Tribolium castaneum: one gene and its partners. The protein of the gene in region 4 interacts with the protein of the main gene of each other region in a biochemical or structural test. Links are inferred from orthologs where the notes say so. Each region holds a gene or a part of one and is shown on either strand. Other genes may lie near its edges. The genes, in order: Ubi-p63E, CSN5, UbcE2M, Cul3, SCCRO3 and Pef.

The links.
Region 1: the proteins of Cul3 (region 4) and Ubi-p63E form a complex in vitro, tested with the Homo sapiens proteins (2 studies listed by BioGRID, with this or other methods). The link is inferred for Tribolium castaneum from reciprocal best matches to the Homo sapiens genes CUL3 and UBC.
Region 2: of the proteins of Cul3 (region 4) and CSN5, one has a biochemical effect on the other in vitro, tested with the Homo sapiens proteins (2 studies listed by BioGRID). The link is inferred for Tribolium castaneum from reciprocal best matches to the Homo sapiens genes CUL3 and COPS5.
Region 3: the proteins of Cul3 (region 4) and UbcE2M form a complex in vitro, tested with the Homo sapiens proteins (2 studies listed by BioGRID, with this or other methods). The link is inferred for Tribolium castaneum from reciprocal best matches to the Homo sapiens genes CUL3 and UBE2M.
Region 5: the proteins of Cul3 (region 4) and SCCRO3 form a complex in vitro, tested with the Homo sapiens proteins (3 studies listed by BioGRID, with this or other methods). The link is inferred for Tribolium castaneum from reciprocal best matches to the Homo sapiens genes CUL3 and DCUN1D3.
Region 6: the proteins of Cul3 (region 4) and Pef form a complex in vitro, tested with the Homo sapiens proteins (2 studies listed by BioGRID). The link is inferred for Tribolium castaneum from reciprocal best matches to the Homo sapiens genes CUL3 and PEF1.

What each region holds. Positions count from the first base shown.
Region 1 is NC_087396.1:13,943,084-13,947,106, forward strand, and holds Ubi-p63E (polyubiquitin), read left to right. Parts: upstream 1-1,223; 5' UTR 1,224-1,363; intron 1,364-1,477; coding exon 1,478-3,535; 3' UTR 3,536-3,625; downstream 3,626-4,023.
Region 2 is NC_087395.1:23,654,608-23,657,832, reverse strand, and holds CSN5 (COP9 signalosome complex subunit 5), read left to right. Parts: upstream 1-1,199; 5' UTR 1,200-1,520; exon of another isoform or gene 1,521-1,564; 5' UTR 1,565-1,585; coding exon 1,586-1,743; intron 1,744-1,792; coding exon 1,793-2,669; 3' UTR 2,670-2,725; downstream 2,726-3,225. UniProt on the Homo sapiens protein: Probable protease subunit of the COP9 signalosome complex (CSN), a complex involved in various cellular and developmental processes.
Region 3 is NC_087394.1:37,270,882-37,273,722, reverse strand, and holds UbcE2M (NEDD8-conjugating enzyme Ubc12), read left to right. Parts: upstream 1-1,243; 5' UTR 1,244-1,415; coding exon 1,416-1,521; intron 1,522-1,567; coding exon 1,568-1,662; intron 1,663-1,713; coding exon 1,714-2,061; 3' UTR 2,062-2,341; downstream 2,342-2,841. Other genes in the region: msk (importin-7), read right to left, coding at 2,677-2,741, 2,795-2,841.
Region 4 is NC_087398.1:13,274,765-13,278,264, forward strand, and holds part of Cul3 (cullin-3), read left to right. Parts: coding exon 1-191; intron 192-240; coding exon 241-411; intron 412-2,898; coding exon 2,899-3,006; intron 3,007-3,063; coding exon 3,064-3,188; intron 3,189-3,243; coding exon 3,244-3,500. UniProt on the Homo sapiens protein: Core component of multiple cullin-RING-based BCR (BTB-CUL3-RBX1) E3 ubiquitin-protein ligase complexes which mediate the ubiquitination and subsequent proteasomal degradation of target proteins.
Region 5 is NC_087399.1:5,912,494-5,915,157, reverse strand, and holds the end of SCCRO3 (DCN1-like protein 3), read left to right. Parts: intron 1-1,231; coding exon 1,232-1,583; 3' UTR 1,584-2,164; downstream 2,165-2,664. UniProt on the Homo sapiens protein: Contributes to the neddylation of all cullins by transferring NEDD8 from N-terminally acetylated NEDD8-conjugating E2s enzyme to different cullin C-terminal domain-RBX complexes and may play a role in the cell cycle progression by regulating the SCF ubiquitin E3 ligase complex, after UV damage.
Region 6 is NC_087403.1:4,842,524-4,845,175, reverse strand, and holds Pef (peflin), read left to right. Parts: upstream 1-1,202; 5' UTR 1,203-1,350; coding exon 1,351-1,359; intron 1,360-1,417; coding exon 1,418-1,763; intron 1,764-1,854; coding exon 1,855-2,081; 3' UTR 2,082-2,152; downstream 2,153-2,652. UniProt on the Homo sapiens protein: Calcium-binding protein that acts as an adapter that bridges unrelated proteins or stabilizes weak protein-protein complexes in response to calcium.

The DNA of each region.
Region 1 (4,023 bases), on a different chromosome or scaffold from region 4:
AAATAATTTTAGGTGATCACCAATGTCAACATGTTTACCAAAAGCGGTTATTACCGTTTTGGAACTATAAAGTTTATCACGTCTTATCCTGTATTTTTGTAGTTGGACTACGTTACGTTTAGCAACTGTTAAAGCCGAATTGTATATTTTAGGTAACATGAAATGTATTTGTTGACTGCTTAGTTTTATAATGCGGACGAAAGATTTATGTTGAAGTAATAGAATTACGCTTTGTTAAAGTATCATAATTTTGAATTGTTGATATAGGAAGTATGAAATTATGGCGTATAATCAATCTGATGCAATATTTTTGTTGTTGCTGTAATTTCGGTAGCATGTTCTTGTAGTTTTAATTTTATGGACGCTGTGTAGTGTAAAATGGCCCATTATTTTTGTAATTAATTTTCATATTTTAGGGGTTTGTTTGCCACAATAATTGCCTCTTTATGTGATATTTGTTTCCATTTTATAGACACAAATGTGCCTTATCTATTACAATATGAAGAATAAATAAGTTGTAATGAATTACTGTACTTTTCTTTGTCCCAAATGACCCTTTTACATAATTTATTATTGTCGTCCGTATTTACATGATAAACAAGACTCTAGAACAACAACGATAAGGATAATTCTTTGTAAACAAATAAATTCCTTTCAAAATTGAACAGACGAATTTGGCATTTCATGCAGGTATTAATGGGTGGTTTATTTGAAACGTTTGAAAAGCATAAATTGGAAAATAAATTAAAATTTGAAAAATAAAAAAGGGCGTAATTCCAAAACAAAGAAAACAGCTGATCGATAAAGCTGACGACGTAGATAAAAATCAGCTGACATGTCACCAACAACTACTGGCCAAAGTCCCTAGAATCTTGTTCAATTAAAAGCAATTTTCTTAATACCTGAAACATTGTTTTGACCACGATTAACCGAATTGGCATTAAACTGATAGCAACTAAAGTTTATGTATAAATTTTTGATTAAAGAGGACGTTTTTTGGATAATTAGTCGAAAATTCTAGAAAGTGTACTTTGGGTTCGAGATTAAAAAGGAGTGGGGGAAGCCGTCCGTATAAAAGCGGTTCCACAGCTGCATTCGCCATATTGTCTGAGCAAAAGTGGTGAAATACAAAAGCGATTTAATTAAAATTGTGAATTTTCCTAGCCGTAAAGGTATGTATTTTAATTTCATCATGAATTATTCGATTGCAAGAAGCGCAGAAAGTCGCAATTTTGTGAAATTTTTCGCATGACGCAATAACATTTGTTTGAAAAAACATCGCCCTAGTGACGTGTTTTTTTGTTTAAATTTTAACAAAATTAATTTTGTAAATTTGTCGATCTGTTCAAAACCAAACCACATAGTGAGTAATGTGTTTTTTCGGTTTATTCAGTGCGTAATTCTTTGTTCAACGAAATCCAATATGGCGGCTTGGAAATTTGCTTTGTCACAAAAGTAATTTTTTGTGTCGTTGCAGATGCAGATCTTCGTGAAGACTTTGACTGGTAAAACCATCACCTTGGAGGTCGAGCCCTCCGATACCATCGAAAACGTCAAAGCTAAGATCCAGGACAAGGAAGGTATCCCCCCAGACCAGCAACGTTTGATCTTCGCTGGCAAACAACTCGAAGACGGACGCACTTTGTCTGACTACAACATCCAGAAGGAATCGACGCTCCACTTGGTTTTGAGATTGAGGGGCGGTATGCAAATCTTCGTTAAGACACTCACTGGCAAGACCATCACTCTGGAAGTTGAGCCCTCTGATACGATCGAGAACGTCAAAGCCAAGATCCAGGACAAGGAGGGCATCCCTCCAGATCAACAGCGTTTGATTTTCGCTGGTAAACAACTCGAAGACGGACGCACCTTGTCCGATTACAACATCCAGAAGGAATCCACCCTTCACTTGGTTTTGCGTCTGAGGGGAGGCATGCAGATCTTCGTCAAGACCTTGACTGGGAAAACCATTACTTTGGAAGTCGAACCTTCCGACACGATTGAAAACGTCAAGGCTAAGATTCAGGATAAGGAAGGGATCCCACCAGACCAACAAAGATTGATCTTTGCCGGGAAACAACTAGAAGATGGGCGTACCCTCTCAGATTACAACATCCAGAAGGAATCCACCCTTCACTTGGTATTGCGTTTGAGAGGTGGCATGCAAATTTTCGTCAAAACCCTGACTGGCAAGACCATCACCTTGGAGGTCGAACCTTCTGATACCATTGAGAATGTTAAGGCCAAGATCCAAGACAAGGAAGGTATCCCACCAGACCAACAAAGATTGATCTTCGCTGGAAAACAACTTGAAGACGGCCGTACTCTTTCCGACTACAATATCCAAAAAGAATCCACCCTCCACTTGGTGTTGCGTCTCCGAGGTGGCATGCAAATTTTCGTGAAGACTTTGACTGGAAAAACGATCACTCTTGAAGTCGAACCTTCGGACACAATCGAAAACGTGAAGGCGAAAATTCAGGACAAAGAGGGGATTCCCCCAGATCAGCAAAGATTGATTTTCGCCGGCAAACAGTTGGAGGATGGTCGCACACTCTCCGACTACAACATCCAGAAAGAGTCGACCCTCCACTTGGTGTTGCGTCTCCGTGGTGGCATGCAAATCTTCGTAAAGACTTTGACTGGGAAGACGATCACTTTGGAAGTAGAACCATCGGACACTATCGAAAACGTTAAGGCGAAAATTCAGGACAAAGAGGGGATTCCCCCAGATCAGCAGAGGTTGATCTTCGCCGGCAAACAGCTCGAAGATGGCCGAACTCTCTCCGACTACAACATTCAAAAAGAATCAACACTCCACTTAGTATTGCGGCTCCGAGGTGGCATGCAAATTTTCGTTAAAACTCTGACTGGCAAAACCATCACCCTGGAAGTCGAACCTTCTGATACAATTGAGAACGTCAAGGCTAAGATTCAAGACAAAGAGGGTATCCCACCAGACCAACAAAGATTGATCTTTGCTGGAAAACAACTAGAAGACGGCCGTACTCTTTCCGATTACAATATCCAGAAGGAATCCACTCTCCACTTGGTGTTGCGTCTCCGAGGTGGCATGCAAATTTTCGTGAAGACCTTGACGGGAAAGACGATCACTTTGGAAGTAGAACCCTCAGACACAATTGAGAATGTTAAAGCTAAAATCCAGGATAAAGAAGGCATTCCTCCAGATCAGCAGAGGTTGATCTTTGCTGGCAAACAACTCGAAGATGGGCGCACCCTGTCGGACTATAATATTCAAAAAGAATCAACCCTACATTTAGTATTGCGTCTGCGAGGAGGTATGCAAATTTTCGTGAAGACGTTGACTGGGAAAACAATTACGTTGGAAGTTGAGCCATCGGACACGATTGAAAATGTGAAGGCCAAAATTCAAGATAAGGAAGGTATTCCCCCAGACCAGCAAAGATTGATCTTTGCGGGAAAACAGTTGGAAGATGGTCGCACACTTTCGGACTACAATATCCAAAAGGAATCCACTCTTCATCTAGTCTTACGTCTTCGCGGAGGACAGTAATTTTCTGGAATTTCTATGCTTAATATTTTTTTTACTTTTTGTTACAAGTTTCCTGAAATTACGAATAGAGAATAAAGATTGATGGCTTAATTCTTGTGTTTTATTTTAGTACTCCATGTGAATTAATTCAAAAAAATGCTTATCAAAATTTTAAAACATTTGGCTTTACGGGGTTGGTTTGTCTTTGGATTTGGAGCTTAGACGAGATTGTAGGCCCGCGAGAATGTACGCTCACGAGAATTCTCCAAAAATCGCCAACACACAAATTGAAATTAAAAAAAGATTTGAGGTATATTTCCAACAAGGCAACAAATTCTTAAAAAAATAAGTTATTCATATGACTGCACATATTTTGGAGTAATTCGTTAAGCTAAATACAGTGTTAAAAATAAAGACTTCACTTTCATTGATATTCGGAGAAACCGGACTTGGCAGCCGATCGAATTTGACGTTAGGCATAAAAATAAAAAACTTAAAGACAAAAAAAA
Region 2 (3,225 bases), on a different chromosome or scaffold from region 4:
CGTAAACTTTTACTGGAGAATAACCGGTTGGGAGTCAAAATTAATCTTGAAACTGTCACAGCTTAGAACATTATCCGCACTACAAAGAGCCTATACATCACGAAACTAGTTGGAAATACCGTTGAACCCACCAAAAACTCACCTAAATTGAAACAAAGCTGCATTCGCTGGAAATCCTTGCGGTTATTTTAAAATTCGCAGCAGGTGGTATCTGGACTCGTTTAAAAACCCGGTTTACGCGTAAAAAACCTGGTTATTTTTAATTCGGGGGTAAAATCCCCTAGTCTAAATTTAGTTCGAACGGGAGGAAAGGAATTCATCGTGTTTCAATACGCGAGTATGTGGCCTTGGATTTGAATTTTTTACAGGCGCGTATTACATTGCAAGAAGACAGATAATAAACAAATTGCGTTTGAAATAAGCGATAACCGAACAATGCAAGTGCACCACAATGGTCGTTCCGTTGGGGATTTTCGGCACAGACATGTGGGTGCCACACCGACACCCTGACTCACCCTCGGACCCCAAGTCACGAATTCGCCCCTAATTACGGGGGACGTGCACTAACAAAGAACGCGGCCTAGCAACAGCCCCCAGCCTCAAGCATGGCCCCAATTTTTGAATTCTGCGACAACCGGCGCGCATCCCTCGACTCTAACGTCCCAAATCGCGAAAACTACGACATTTTCGCCGGCATTTGTTAGCGGAAATCGCCCCCCGGACCCAAAAATATGCTATTTAATTGACCACTTGGCCCAAAACTCACCTTATCCTCCTAAAATCCTATTTAAAACGAGCACAAATTCTACAACACAACGTTACCACACTACTTATTACAAACTTTTCTTTAACTAAAACGCGCATAATCTCGAATCAAAATGGCGGGCGCCCCACCATTATGCACCGAATGCCGCCCGCTGATTGGTCGGTTTGATTTAAGACGCTTTAGAATTGCCAACTGCTAAAAAACCACCCTAATAAAACTGTCAGGGTGTGGTTGGACTTGTTTATGGGTTTTAAACGATGAGACTCCAATTATACTCCCATAACGTTACACCGAATTACGGCCGGGCTTTACGTTCGCAAAAACCAACACAAAGTCGTTTCGTGCAAATGGGAAAAAAACAAAAGAAAAACGCTAATGGGACGACATCTGCAGGACTGTTAACACACTTTGCGAACACCTGTCCCACCTTGAAAAACACAATTCGGTAAAAATAGCCCAATGAAGGCAATAACGGGCCACCAAATGCCAAGCCACTCGTAAAATAATTATTTTCTGTGACAAAACTCCTTGTCGGTTTGTGCCACAAACAATTTATCGATTTTTTTTCATTACCATTATGCATTGTCTCATTATTACAGCAATTAATACGTAAATCGTCCCATATCTAAAAAAAAAAATTAAAAAAGTGTCCTTCCAGTTTTTATATTTACGATTGGTAGCGCTGTAATTTGACATCTGTGTTTTGACAGGTCCGATTTTTTCGAATTTTTGCCCAAAATAGCCCAGAATTACGGTAAATCCTCGTCATTTTCGCAATAACTCTCCATTTGTGATTAGCTTTTGCCCCCTTTTGCCGCAATGTCGAAGCCGGGGACCTCCGAAACCCAGGAACAAATCGCACAAAAAACCTGGGAAATGGCCAATAAAGTCGAACTGGTGAACTCGGTCGACGATATTTACCGCTACGACAAGAAGCAGCAGCAAGACATCCTCGCCGCGAAGCCCTGGGAGAAAGAGTAGGCAAAAGTCGGCCCTAACCTCACTTTACCTAATCTCAATTTCCAGCCCTCACTTCTTCAAAGATATCAAAATCTCGGCCTTGGCCCTCTTGAAAATGGTCATGCACGCGCGTTCGGGGGGCACCCTGGAGGTCATGGGCCTGATTTTGGGCAAAGTCGACGGAAACACAATGTTTGTGATGGACTCGTTTGCGCTGCCTGTGGAAGGGACAGAGACCCGAGTCAACGCACAAGCTCAGGCTTACGAGTACATGAGTTCGTACATCGAGGCTGCGAAGCTGGTGGGCCGCCAGGAGAACGCGATAGGCTGGTACCACAGCCACCCGGGATACGGGTGCTGGTTGTCTGGGATTGACGTTGGCACCCAGATGCTCAACCAGAATTTCCAGGAACCGTTCGTTGCCATTGTGATTGATCCTGTGAGAACCATTTCCGCGGGGAAGGTGTGTCTAGGGGCGTTCAGGACGTACCCGAAAGGGTACAAACCAGCAAATGAGGAACCGTCAGAGTACCAGACCATTCCTCTGAACAAAATCGAGGATTTTGGGGTGCATTGCAAACAATATTATTCGCTTGAAGTGTCGTATTTTAAATCGTCACTTGATAGGCGATTGCTTGATTCCTTGTGGAACAAATATTGGGTCAATACTTTGAGCTCGTCTAGTTTGTTAACGAATGCTGATTACACAACTGGGCAAATTTTTGATTTGTCGGAGAAGTTGGAACAGTCGGAAGCGGCCATTGGGCGCGGGGGGTTCATCGTAGGCGGCACTGATCCGCACGAAAAACGAACAGAAGACAAACTGTTGAAAGCTACAAAGGACAGTTGCAAGACTACGATTGAGATTATTCACGGACTGATGGCCCAAATGATCAAAGACCGGCTTTTTAACAGCACTTCCTTGAATAATTCGACCCATTAACGCGTTTTAATCTGTCTGATTTGTTTGGATTTAATAAATATTTATTTATAATCTAATTGGTGTGTTATTGGTTACCTAGTCCTAAAAAACTACGGATATCTAAAGGTTAGGATACGAAACGTCGTACAAATAAAACGTTCCCTTCCAAAGCAATGGATTTGAAAAAATTGTATTCGTATATCGGTTAACACAGCAAAAAAATACAGGCAAATGGAGCATTAAATTCTCAATAGTAAGACATAAACATAATGAAAAAAAAATACCGTAAACTACATTTAAAAAAATTTCAATCTTTGCCAATTAGCACTCTATCCCATATTTTTCAAAACGCTGGGAATACGATCAGCTTTTCTCAGTCTGTTCAGAGTGCAAAACTCAACATTCCTGCATTTTTTTTTTCAAGTAATTAGTGAATAATTGAATGAATTTAAATTAATTTAAAACGACTTGGCGCCGGTATAACGCTCGAAGTGCCCACATTTTTGCTTCACTTTTTGGGTCCAGAAAATCCCACGATTCTGCATCTCGTTCCGTCTCCTAAGTCATAGTCCTCCGT
Region 3 (2,841 bases), on a different chromosome or scaffold from region 4:
TTTTTTACACCTCATAACAGCATGGAGAAAAATATCTACTTTGACTAAGTCTCATTTAATTCGTAATAATTGTTGTGATGGATCATCAAAAATTAAATGTAATGACTGGTGCTTTTTAAAAGGAACTGATGTGATATAATATTATTTGCAGATAATATGCAAGAATAATTGCACAATAATTTTTATTTAACACAATTTTTTTCCTAAAATTAGATATAGGATCAAACAAACAATATTAATAAACGAAAAATACAAGCTTTTTAAATTAATGAATTATTGATTGATAACTAGAAAAGCCATTTCTCTGAAGTCGTCTGTAAAATGGTTACATTACAGACCATATTTATTTGGGTTCAAAATAGTCTCTAGAGTGTCGTACTTTTCAAAGCTCATAAAATGTGATAACTGATGACGTGATGAGTGATGAGACTTTGTGTGAAATGACTGCATTTCCAATTTTTTTTAAGAAACTTGGAAAATTATCAATTCAGAAAAGCACTAAATTTGTTTTTTACACTCAGATGAGTCAGATGGTTATCTCCTCTGCTATCTATCACTTTAGACAACAAACCCCATATTCATGAAAACTCAATTTTAATTTAAATATTACAATATTTTAGGCAAAATGCTAAAATATTTTTTAATTAATAATTTCGTAAAAAAATTAAAATTGCTCAAACCGTCGCGTCGTCTGCGTTGATAGTTGAATGACAATTAACGAAGACGACGCGACGGCTCAAACCCGTGGCCCAAACTTTGCAAAAGTTGCTCTGCGCGTCAAAATGTAGTACCGTATAAAATTTCAATAACGATGCTTTAAAATATTAGGGTTGGATTTATATTAACAAATAAATTAGAAATGTGTACACTTACCTTTGAGTAACTGCAAACATTCGTTTCAATGTTCATCTGTGGTCTGGTGGTCAACAAACTAATACACAAACTAAAAACACAATAACGAACAGTTCTAAAACGCTCCTAAACCGAAATAATTCGTTTCACAGAATAATTTTACGAATTTCAACAACTCAAGACGCGAAAAATCCGCAGAGGATGACAAACGCACCAGTAGTACCAATGTAATAACAACGGCACGAAATAAATTAATTTAAATAGCTTTGAACATAGTCTTCTGATGGTCTGCTTTATTGATTTGGATCTTTTGATTAAGTGCTTTGCAGAAAAATTCTTAGCATTAGCAATAAATGAATTTTTTAAATTTTTTCATTAAGAATTCGTTCCGATGGTAAAGTAAATTCCTGCATGTCCCATTGACAGTTTTGACATTGACAGATGTGTGAAAAATTCTCTTGCAAAAAGCAATCGAATAAACTCGACTTTCCCATGTTTTTGTAAAGTGTGCTCGCAGTAAATTACATTGCTCTGACCCCTCACCACCCCTGCGCCAGCCAAATATGATAAAACTATTCTCGCTGAAGCAACAGAAAAAAGATGGAGAAGCCTCACCGCGACCAGGAAATCAAAAGAAAGCCTCTGCAGCCCAGTTGAGGATTACGAAAGGTTGGTTGTGAGTCATTGCGCCCCCATTTTGACCCTCCCTTTGCAGATATCAACGAGCTGAACCTGCCCAAGACCTGCACGACGGAGTTTCCCGATCCGGACGACTTGCTGTCTTTCAAACTGGTGATTTGTCCGGATGAGGTTAGTTGTGGATTAGTGTGTGGGGTTGTGGTTAATTGGGGGGACGTTTAGGGTTTCTACAAGACAGGGAGGTTCGTATTCAGTTTCAAAGTGGGCCCCAATTACCCGCATGAGCCCCCCAAAGTCAAATGCGAGACACAGGTCTACCACCCCAACATCGACCAACAGGGCAACGTGTGCTTGAACATTTTAAGGGAGGATTGGAAGCCCGTACTGACTATCAACAGTATCGTCTATGGACTGCAGTATTTGTTCCTTGAACCCAATCCAGAGGATCCTTTGAACAAGGAAGCGGCTGAAGTGCTCACGACCAACAGGCGGCTGTTTGAGCAGAACGTCCAGAAGGCGATGCGTGGAGGGTATGTTGGCAGTACTTATTTCGACCGCTGTCTCAAGTGATTCTTATGTGTAAAGAACTTATTTATAAGTTTACTGTTTTATGCTCGTTGACGAGGACACTCGAGTGATTCTTGCATACCTAATTACTAATTTCGTTTATTAAAGCTACCACTATGTTGTTTTATTTGGCTTTTTCATCTCAATCGTTCTATTGTGATCATCATATCTCACTCCAGCGTAAAGCACCACAAAGCGGTGTGTTGTAATTTCTCCTCAGTGAAATGTAACTGATTTAATTAAGAAAATAGATAATTTTTCATAATAAAAATCTACAAAAATTCGAAGCAATTCTTTATTAAAATGCAATAACTTAACACCTTTCAGTATATTATAGAAATAATGTAATTTACTACATTGTCTTTCCCTAAAGAAGAAAACAAATGAGACAAAAGAGACACAGTCGAAAAATAATTACAATTACACGGAAAATAAACTTCCATTTAAATCTATATTAGGTAAATTTAAATCGTTTACATCCGTTTTTTTTTTGTTTAATAAAAAGGCACTTAATAAAAATTAAAAAAGATTAAATTACCAACTGTACATCATTTCACTGGTCTTAACAGTCAATTTTACATTCAGTCACAAAAATTTTACACACCACGTCACATATATTCATGACGGTTTTGGAGCGCCAAACTTAAAAGTTGTGGGTACTTCATGTTGTGTAAACATAAAACCTGGACAAACAAAATTAATTTGTTATTCCCCCAACACTATCATATAATTTTACCTCCCGATTGTTCAATTCTTTTACTTTCTTTGGCTGCTTTCCTCTGA
Region 4 (3,500 bases):
TAACATTCGTCCAGTCGTTGCTAGATCTGAAGGATCGGTTCGATCATTTCTTGAAGAATTCGTTCAATAACGATAAGATCTTCAAACAGATGATCGCCTCAGATTTCGAACATTTTCTCAATCTCAACCCGAAATCGCCCGAATACCTCTCCTTATTTATAGATGATAAATTAAAAAAAGGCGTCAAAGGGGTGGGTAACTTGCAAGGGGGAAAACTCGGTGTTATAACTTTCGTTTCAGATGTCCGAACAAGAAATTGAATTGGTTCTTGACAAGTCCATGGTACTCTTTAGGTTCCTTCAAGAGAAAGACGTTTTCGAACGCTATTACAAACAACACTTGGCCAAGCGATTACTTTTGAATAAGTCGGTTAGCGACGATTGGGAGAAAAATATGATTTCAAAGTTAAAGGTAAAAAATATTAACCGTGAACTTGTCACGTGAGTTGTGTGTTTATATCAGAAACATACAGCGTCTGTCTAAATTTATATCAAGGTTTCTCTTTCTGATACGACTTATCAACAACCTTGAAACAATAATACCACAAATTAATTCCGTGCAAGACGCTTTACACATTATTTATATAACATCCAGGATGGATTTTAGTCAACTACTAATTAATAATATTGAAAAAAAGGCAATTGAGATAAACGATTTATTGCAAACTTTATCTTGTTTGTGGGTCAGGCTAAGTAGTCGTTTACATTTTTTTTGACTAGTTTCGTAATTACAAATATTTTCAACACATTTTTACCAATACAGGATGTTACAGCAGTTGTTTCGGTTAATAATTTCAACAAATTTTCGAAATATAATAAAATTTGAAAAAATAGTTCATGTTTGTTATTGAAGTTGCAAACTATTAGAAAAACTAAGTCAAAAATTCAACACTTTAATTACAAACAGCGCGTACATTTATTTGAAGACAATCAGATAATAATGTCTTCCAAATATCAGATTGCAAAAGATCCTTTAAAAAAATTCTCCTAAATTAAAAAAAAATTATTCGGTTTTTTTATTGCAAACTGCGTGTTTATTAATTTGAAAACAATCGGAATAATTGTCTTCAAAGTATAAACATCAAAAAAAAAATCTAAACTAAAAAAAATTAATGGAATTTTCTCTAATTTAATAAAAGTCCAGTACAGACTTCAATGGGGTATTTTTAAAGTACCACGTGGAGATTTTTTTTGTTGTCACTGAGACCCAAAACACTGTCGGAAAAACTAACCAAAACACCTTACAAAATTCTTACACTTGTAACAAATTTAAAAAAAATACTAACAGAGAAATTCTCATAGTAATTAATAAATCATCATTAGAAACTCTTCCTCCAAAAGACTGCAAAAGTCGTTCAGAAGTAACGGTTAGAACAAATAGTGTAAATTTTTGAAAAAATCTTTAATTAAAAATTCATTACACACTTTAATAAGGGTATTGGTCATAAAGTCGATCCTTGCAATTATTGCAATTGTCCATTGTGGTGCAAAAAATTTTTATAGTGAGTTGTCATTGTAACAGGTTCGTCATTTGCACTACAATGTTTTTTTCAATAAAAAACAGGTATATAACTTTGGTAGACAATTATTTATGGAGAAAAAATTTTGAACTTTAATTAGAAAAAAATCAACATCACCGAACTGTTAAAATCAAATATTTATATTACAGTTACAATAGCCAAACTATCTTTGCACCATTCTGCAACACGAATAGATTATGAATCTACAATTATTTTTTTCAGTGATTTTAGTAGTTTTTTTTGTAGATCTAAAACTTGTAAAACGATGGAAGTTTGATGAAATTTTGTTTCTTGACTATTTGCGTTCTCACTTTAACTTCAACTATGCTGCATTTTGAATCTTGCAGTTATTTGAAATTTAACTTTTATTTTATCTCGGTTATGTAGGAGTCTTAAAAAAAACATTCTTGCTTCTCAAAAAAAATCATTAACCAGACGTGACACGTTACAAGAAAACAGCAATTTTTTTCAACTTTCTTTTGTTAAGACTAAAACTTGTGTTATATTCGTTGGAATCTACATTTATTGAGAAATCTTTTGCAAAAAATATGAAGTTTATAGCTTTGTTCAGAAGGAAGATATGAAGATGTAATCACAAAATTTTCCCATTTTTTTAAGTTGTTACCTATCATTCTTTACTTTTAAGCACCTTCTAACTCGGTTAATTTTAATATCAAAAAAATCAAAACATGTTTATGTAGAATGTTTTGCTTTACATTTTTTTATTTAGATTTTTTATATTGTTCCTAGCTCTTAGCTCTTACCTATTTTGAACAACATTGAAAAAACCCTTTATTTGAATTTTTTAACTCTGTCCAAAAAACAATATTTTTGATTCAGTTTTTTTCATAATCATAAGTAGTTGCTCCAAACTTTAATATGAACGCTTTTTTGACTGCACTATACTAATGTCTTCTCTGTCTCAAACGTTTGAATTAAAGCTCTTCTATAAGACTGACTGAGAGAAATGTAAATTTATCGAAGACATAACATTAAAAAGATTTTTTACGACGTCAAAACTACTTTCCTTATTTGGTCTGCATAAGACAGCTGAACAATTTTTTACAACTTGTTATGGTATTTCTTTTGCAATGACTCGATAAAAAGTAAAAGCATTAAAGCTTTTGAGCCGTTAAAAAATCCTTAATTTTACTTTTCACTTAGCTTGATCTTTCTTTTTAACATTACCCAAGAAATGGTCCGAGACTTCTGAATCACTCTGTATAAAAAGAGACTAGAGGATTAATGCTTTTAAAAGATTTTTATTTTACACAATAATTTCATTGTTAAATTCTGCGTTAACTTACACCAAGCCCTTCACTTTATTTGTTGATTGTCATAATAATAATAATTGTTAAATAATTTTTATTTTGTTTTAGACTGAGTGCGGTTGTCAGTTCACGTCAAAACTTGAAGGCATGTTCAAAGATATGACAGTTTCAAACACGATCATGGACGAGTTTAAGGATCATATCACCAAAACTGAGGTATTAAAATTGTAGAAAAAAACTTGTATGCAATTTTTAATTTTTACATATCCACAGTCAAGCTTATGCGGGGTGGACCTTTTCATGCGCGTCTTAACGACCGGGTTCTGGCCTACGCAGAGCGCCACTCCCAAGTGCCACATTCCTGCTGTTCCACTAGCTGCCTTCGAATGTTTTAGTAGGTTGGTAAACCACTCAACTCGAAACCATTTTTTTTCTAAACCCCCTCTGTGGTAGATTTTATTTAGCCAAACATAGCGGAAGGCAGTTGACGTTACAACCCCAGTTGGGCAACGCCGATCTCAATGCCATATTTTTCGGTCCGAAAAAGGAAGACCCCGACAAAGACGGGGCGTGTTCGTCGACCAGCTCCATTTCGCCGCGGACAGGCCCCAGAAAGCACATAATCCAAGTGTCCACCTACCAAATGGTCGTTTTAATGCTGTTCAACAACCATGAGAAATTAACCTATGAGGAGATTTTAAACGAGTCGG
Region 5 (2,664 bases), on a different chromosome or scaffold from region 4:
AAATTTCCTATCAGACTTTAGCAGTTTTTTTTAATTTAATAAAAAATAAAATTCATAAAAAAATCACAGTTTGTAGATGTGCCAACAGTGGGAATTATTTCCTAGGACACTGTTTCAAAAATAATTTATTTTTATTGTTGATCAAATTCTATTGCGCTCACGACTGTTAGACAACGTTGGCACATATCATTTATTTAAAATTCGTTATTTATCAATAACATTAATACAAAGAATTTTTTTACTATTTTTATCATTATATGTAAGCGATTCTCTGCCTCACTTCATTAAATTCGTGCGCCGGTTTTTGAGCACCCGGTATATACAGAGGGAAAATTTTTAAACTAAATAAGTGTCCAACCTTTAGACGCGCGGGGATGTATTTTAAATTTTTCTGGTTGCTTTATTGTATAAATACAAAAGCCTTTAAGTTAGTTTGTAGAAAATACTTTCCGTCTCTTCATAGTTGTTTCGAATATTGTGAAAAATCTCCACTGACATCTTTAAACTTGAGTATTTTGCCTCAGAATTTTTTTCGCTTTCCTTTGAGCGTAGAAAAATTGTATTTCTGGATATCGTCTCCTAGTCTGTACTTCGTTGTCAACGGATTTTCTACTTCCGAAAATTGGTGTAATTTTTTAGCCCCTTCCAGATTCTCTTACTGCAATGCCTTCATCAATAAGGGATTATCAAGAACTATAATAATTTTACGGTGATAAGTAAAGAAAAAAAGTGAAAATACCTCAACTTTCCTTATCCGAATGTTATTGAGCTATAAGGTTTTAGTCGACGAATAAATTTAAATTTGGGGTGCATTTTTTTTCTCAATATATAAGTAAGAAAGTGGTACTTTATGAAAGGTCTGACTGTATTTTTCAATCCTTTACAAAACGATTGATTTTGTAACCTGGTATTATTTTCTAAATGGATAATAATAAAAACCATTCCGTCAATAAGACGGAAACTTGTTAGGTATTTTATAATACACTTAAAATTTCCAGTCGTATCGTAAAAATCTTGCAATTATTTATTCATTCGATTTCCCGGTCGTTTGCAATATTACTAGGCTTTTTCTAAAACGCCCGATTATACATTGTTTTAAAAATCCTAAAAAAAGTTAACAAGCCCTAAAAGTACATCAGAATTGTAGATGCTGTCATGAAAGCCGCATTTGAAAATGATGAAGTGTTTGTAAGTTATCATAATTTTATCGCTTTTTCTTGCTACGCCACAGGTTTACCTTCCGGTTCGGCCTGGATTCTGCGGCGGGGCAGCGAATCCTGCCGACGGACATGGCGGTGGTGCTGTGGCGGCTGGTGTTCACAATGCGGGAACCCCCGATCCTCGCGCGCTGGCTGTCGTTCCTCGAGAGTCACCAGTCGGTTCGGGGGATTCCCCGCGACACGTGGAACATGTTTTTGAATTTCGCCGAAGCCGTGGGCGACGACTTGAGTTGTTACGACGACAACGAGGCGTGGCCGAGCCTGTTCGACGACTTCGTCGAGTACGAGAACGACCAAGCCAACCAAAACATTTCCAAAGACAAGGACTGCGAAGGGCTGATCATCATCGAGCAGAACGATTGATGGTGGTTCGGGCGTCTTGTATATAAAACTGCCTATATATTTTTGACGGGGCGAAGACCCCGCCGGTCGTGATATTTGCGTAGTGGTGAGGTGTGCAACAAGGAAATTTTTCTATGAACGTACGTTTGATCATGCAGTTTTGCGCGCGCGCTATTTGCTTTGGATGTGTCGTCTGATGGTTTTATATAACGGAAGTGAGAGATAGGCAAGAAACGTGCCTACATTTTTTACTTAAATTCGGTTCACTCGTCCATTAATTTTATTGTGGAGATGTTATTTTTTTATGCGTCGTGACTCAGGACTAGGCCGCTATTGATTTTTATGCTAAATTATCGGTGTGTTCAGTATTAATTCGGTCTCTTGTTGGAAGCTAAATTCGCGAGCTGTCGGTTTTTCCTTTTTTGTGATATGTTCTATTTGGAATTTTTCGTGTAAGACTGAAAGGTCATTTTAGGTGCTCTGATTTTAACTGTCTTATTTTTATTACTTCATTATTCTATCAATATATTTATTTAGATTTTTTAATTGTAGATATTACTGTATATTTGAATGTTTTGTGAATAAACAGTATGATTATTTAATTGGACGCAGTGATGCGCCCGTCCTTCACACCTCGACTTACTACGGATACCTAAAGGTTAGGAGATGACGCGGCGTACAAATAAAACGTTCCCATCCTCGATAGTTCTATTAAATCTCGCCAGAGAGCGCAAATTTTATATAATTTTTCTTCTCATATTTCATATGAAAATTTTAGTCGTTAGTTTTTCTTGGTAACATTTTAAGCCTTCTATTTAATATTTGAATCATAGATTATGAACACTATTTACCATAGCAACGTGTTTTCACTATTTTAAAAATTGAATAACACTCATACGGAAAAATTAATATATTTTTTTTTTTTTGAATAAGAGATTTAGAAAGGAAGTGTTAAATATGGAAACTTGCAACAGTTTTTTAAAATGAAGTTTACATCATTTGTCTCAAAAAAATCAAACATTAACGTCCCGAATTCGTTTTTACAAAATAGCCTACATTTGTTTGTGATAAATATCTATCAATTCGTGCAAAAAACGGTTGT
Region 6 (2,652 bases), on a different chromosome or scaffold from region 4:
CTTCAATCGTCTTGCAATTTTTTGTGCAGCAGATAAACAAGTAGGAGGTGATTTTTATATTTTTATTGGTCAATTACTCATTCCTGGGACAAATCAACCGGTTTTATAGGGTCGGTCTATCTCGGAACGGAATTGCAAATAAAATGGACGATTCCGCTTAGTTTTCGAATTATTTTGATTCCTTTGACGGAAACACAGTTTTTTTTAATTAATTAATGATTACACAAAAACTAAGAAACCTAGAAAAGGAGGATTTTTACACAACTAATTAAATTCTACAAAAAATTAATAATTACAATCATAATAATTAAAATAAATAAATTTTTAAAATCAAAATTAACAATTGGCGAACACTGCAATTTTGACACTTTTGCGTAAATTATTTTTTATTCCAAAATCAAGGTTAATACAAAAATTTTATAAGATAGAAAATTTGTTTATAATCAAAAAATAACTTAATATAGAATTAGAGTATGCATAATTCAAAAATGGAAAAAAAACTTAAAAAACATTGAAATTAAAATTCTGTAGATCTAAGTGACTGAAAGAGTGATAATTAAAAACAAAGAAACTGTAATGAGTAAGAACATTAATAAGATAAGATAGAAAAACCACGAAAGGCTAAAAGATTTAGGAAAAATGAATATTATGAAATAATGTGGAGAAATTAAGGAACTAAAAGCTGAAATACTGGAACAAAAAATTTTAAGATGTTAAATAAAATAACTACGAAATTGAAGAATTAGATGTAATACATGATTTTAAACTAAATAGTAATAAAAAAATAACAAAAAAAATAAAGCCGTTTGTGGCCAAAACAAAAGAGCTAAGACAAAAAGTTTTATTCCATCGTAAAGAGTGCGTCAAACTCTATAAGCTGGAATAAATTTAAATAGATTTTCTTCGAAAATTTTTATTTTTTATATTTTGTTAATTACTTCCAGCAAAACTATTGTATGTAAAATAATCTGGAAAATTAATTAGTTTCAAGAAAATACGAAAATTCGTAATACCTAGTTTTCAAGTTATAAATATCTATATATTTTACCAATTTTTACTTCTGTTAGCAATATTCTCAAAAACTCCTAGTTGCAAGGCAATGGTCTTTTTTTAATAGACAATTAAAGGAGCTTTCTGACGCTAAGCTTAATAACTCCGGAGTCAAAAATCAAACGTAGCGCTATTCTGTGGTAATAGGATATTTCCGCTCCAGATGGCTCTAGAAGCGTTGTTACTGACTGTTACCATAGAATAAGAGGTTAACAGTTGACAGTTCTTGGTGATTATTTGTTTATATAAATGTGCGTTAATTTCTAATATTTTTTTGTAATTGTACATGCCACAAGCATAATGTACGGTGTAAGTACCTATTAGAGAACTGTAATAAATTGTATTATGCATGTTACTCGTTAAATAGAATCCCGGGAGTGGATACCAAGGATATCCTGGTGGGGCTGCCCCTGGGTACGGTCAAGGAGCTGCAACTCCGGATGTTCAGCAGTGGTTTAATACAGTAGATAAGGATCGTTCTGGTCAAATAAATTGGCAAGAACTACAAAGTGCTCTTATCAATGGCCAGGGGAAGAATTTTTCAGACGTCGCTTGCAAGCTTATGATTGGGATGTTTGATAGGGATAAGACAGGGACAATTGATATTAACGAATTCCAACAACTCTTCGCATACATTAATCAATGGTTGGCTGTATTTAAAAATTATGATAGGGACCAGTCAGGACACATTGAGGAGCCAGAACTTGCCCAAGGTAATCTTCAACTCATCTACATTTATTCCCGGAAATATTTAAAGAATGTCGGTGTTAATAGAATTATTGCTGGATCTTATTTTATTTTTAGCGTTGCAACAGATGGGATTTAAATTTTCCCCCGATTTCGTAAAATTTTTAATTGCTAAAAGCGACCTTCAAAACCACAAACAAATGTCAGTAGACCAATTTATCGTACTTTGCGTGCAAATCCAGCGGTTCACTGAAGCTTTCCGATCAAGGGACAGTGAAATGAAGGGGGTTATTACAATTGGATTTGAAGATTTTCTCAGTGTCGCGATAAACTGTTCCACATGATTTACTATTTAATTCGTTTAATTCCATTACTAGGGTTAATTTTGTAGGAACAATAAAACTAATAAAACTTAGTCTCTAAAATGTTTTATTAAAAATCCCGTACAGTATAGATGTTCCACATCATTTTTAAGCAAACAAATACTTATTGTAACAACAGTAGGCAATGGGTCGGGTCAAAAAATATTACTGTCGTATCTATAAATTAATCACATTATTTTACGTACATTTTTAAATAGCTAAATTTTATAGTATAGTCTACTGATTAAAAGTGAATTTCAGCAGCACATTTTTAAAGTCGTTGATTGTTTGTTAGGCGTTTTTTTCTACTTGATATTATAAAAACGTTAGGATTATAGTGTGGTCGTTGTAAGTACAAGTTGCCGTTAAAATTCACTTGTGAAACGTAACTGAATTAATCTACAAGCATTGGCCAATGTCCCTGTAAAGTTTCAGTATAAAACGTCGAAACAAATCACAGCTAAAACATGCTACAGCAAATTTTAATCCTAAGTGAAGAAGTACAAACTTTTCAAATATATTTTTATATTAATAAGCGTCATTATTGTGCCCT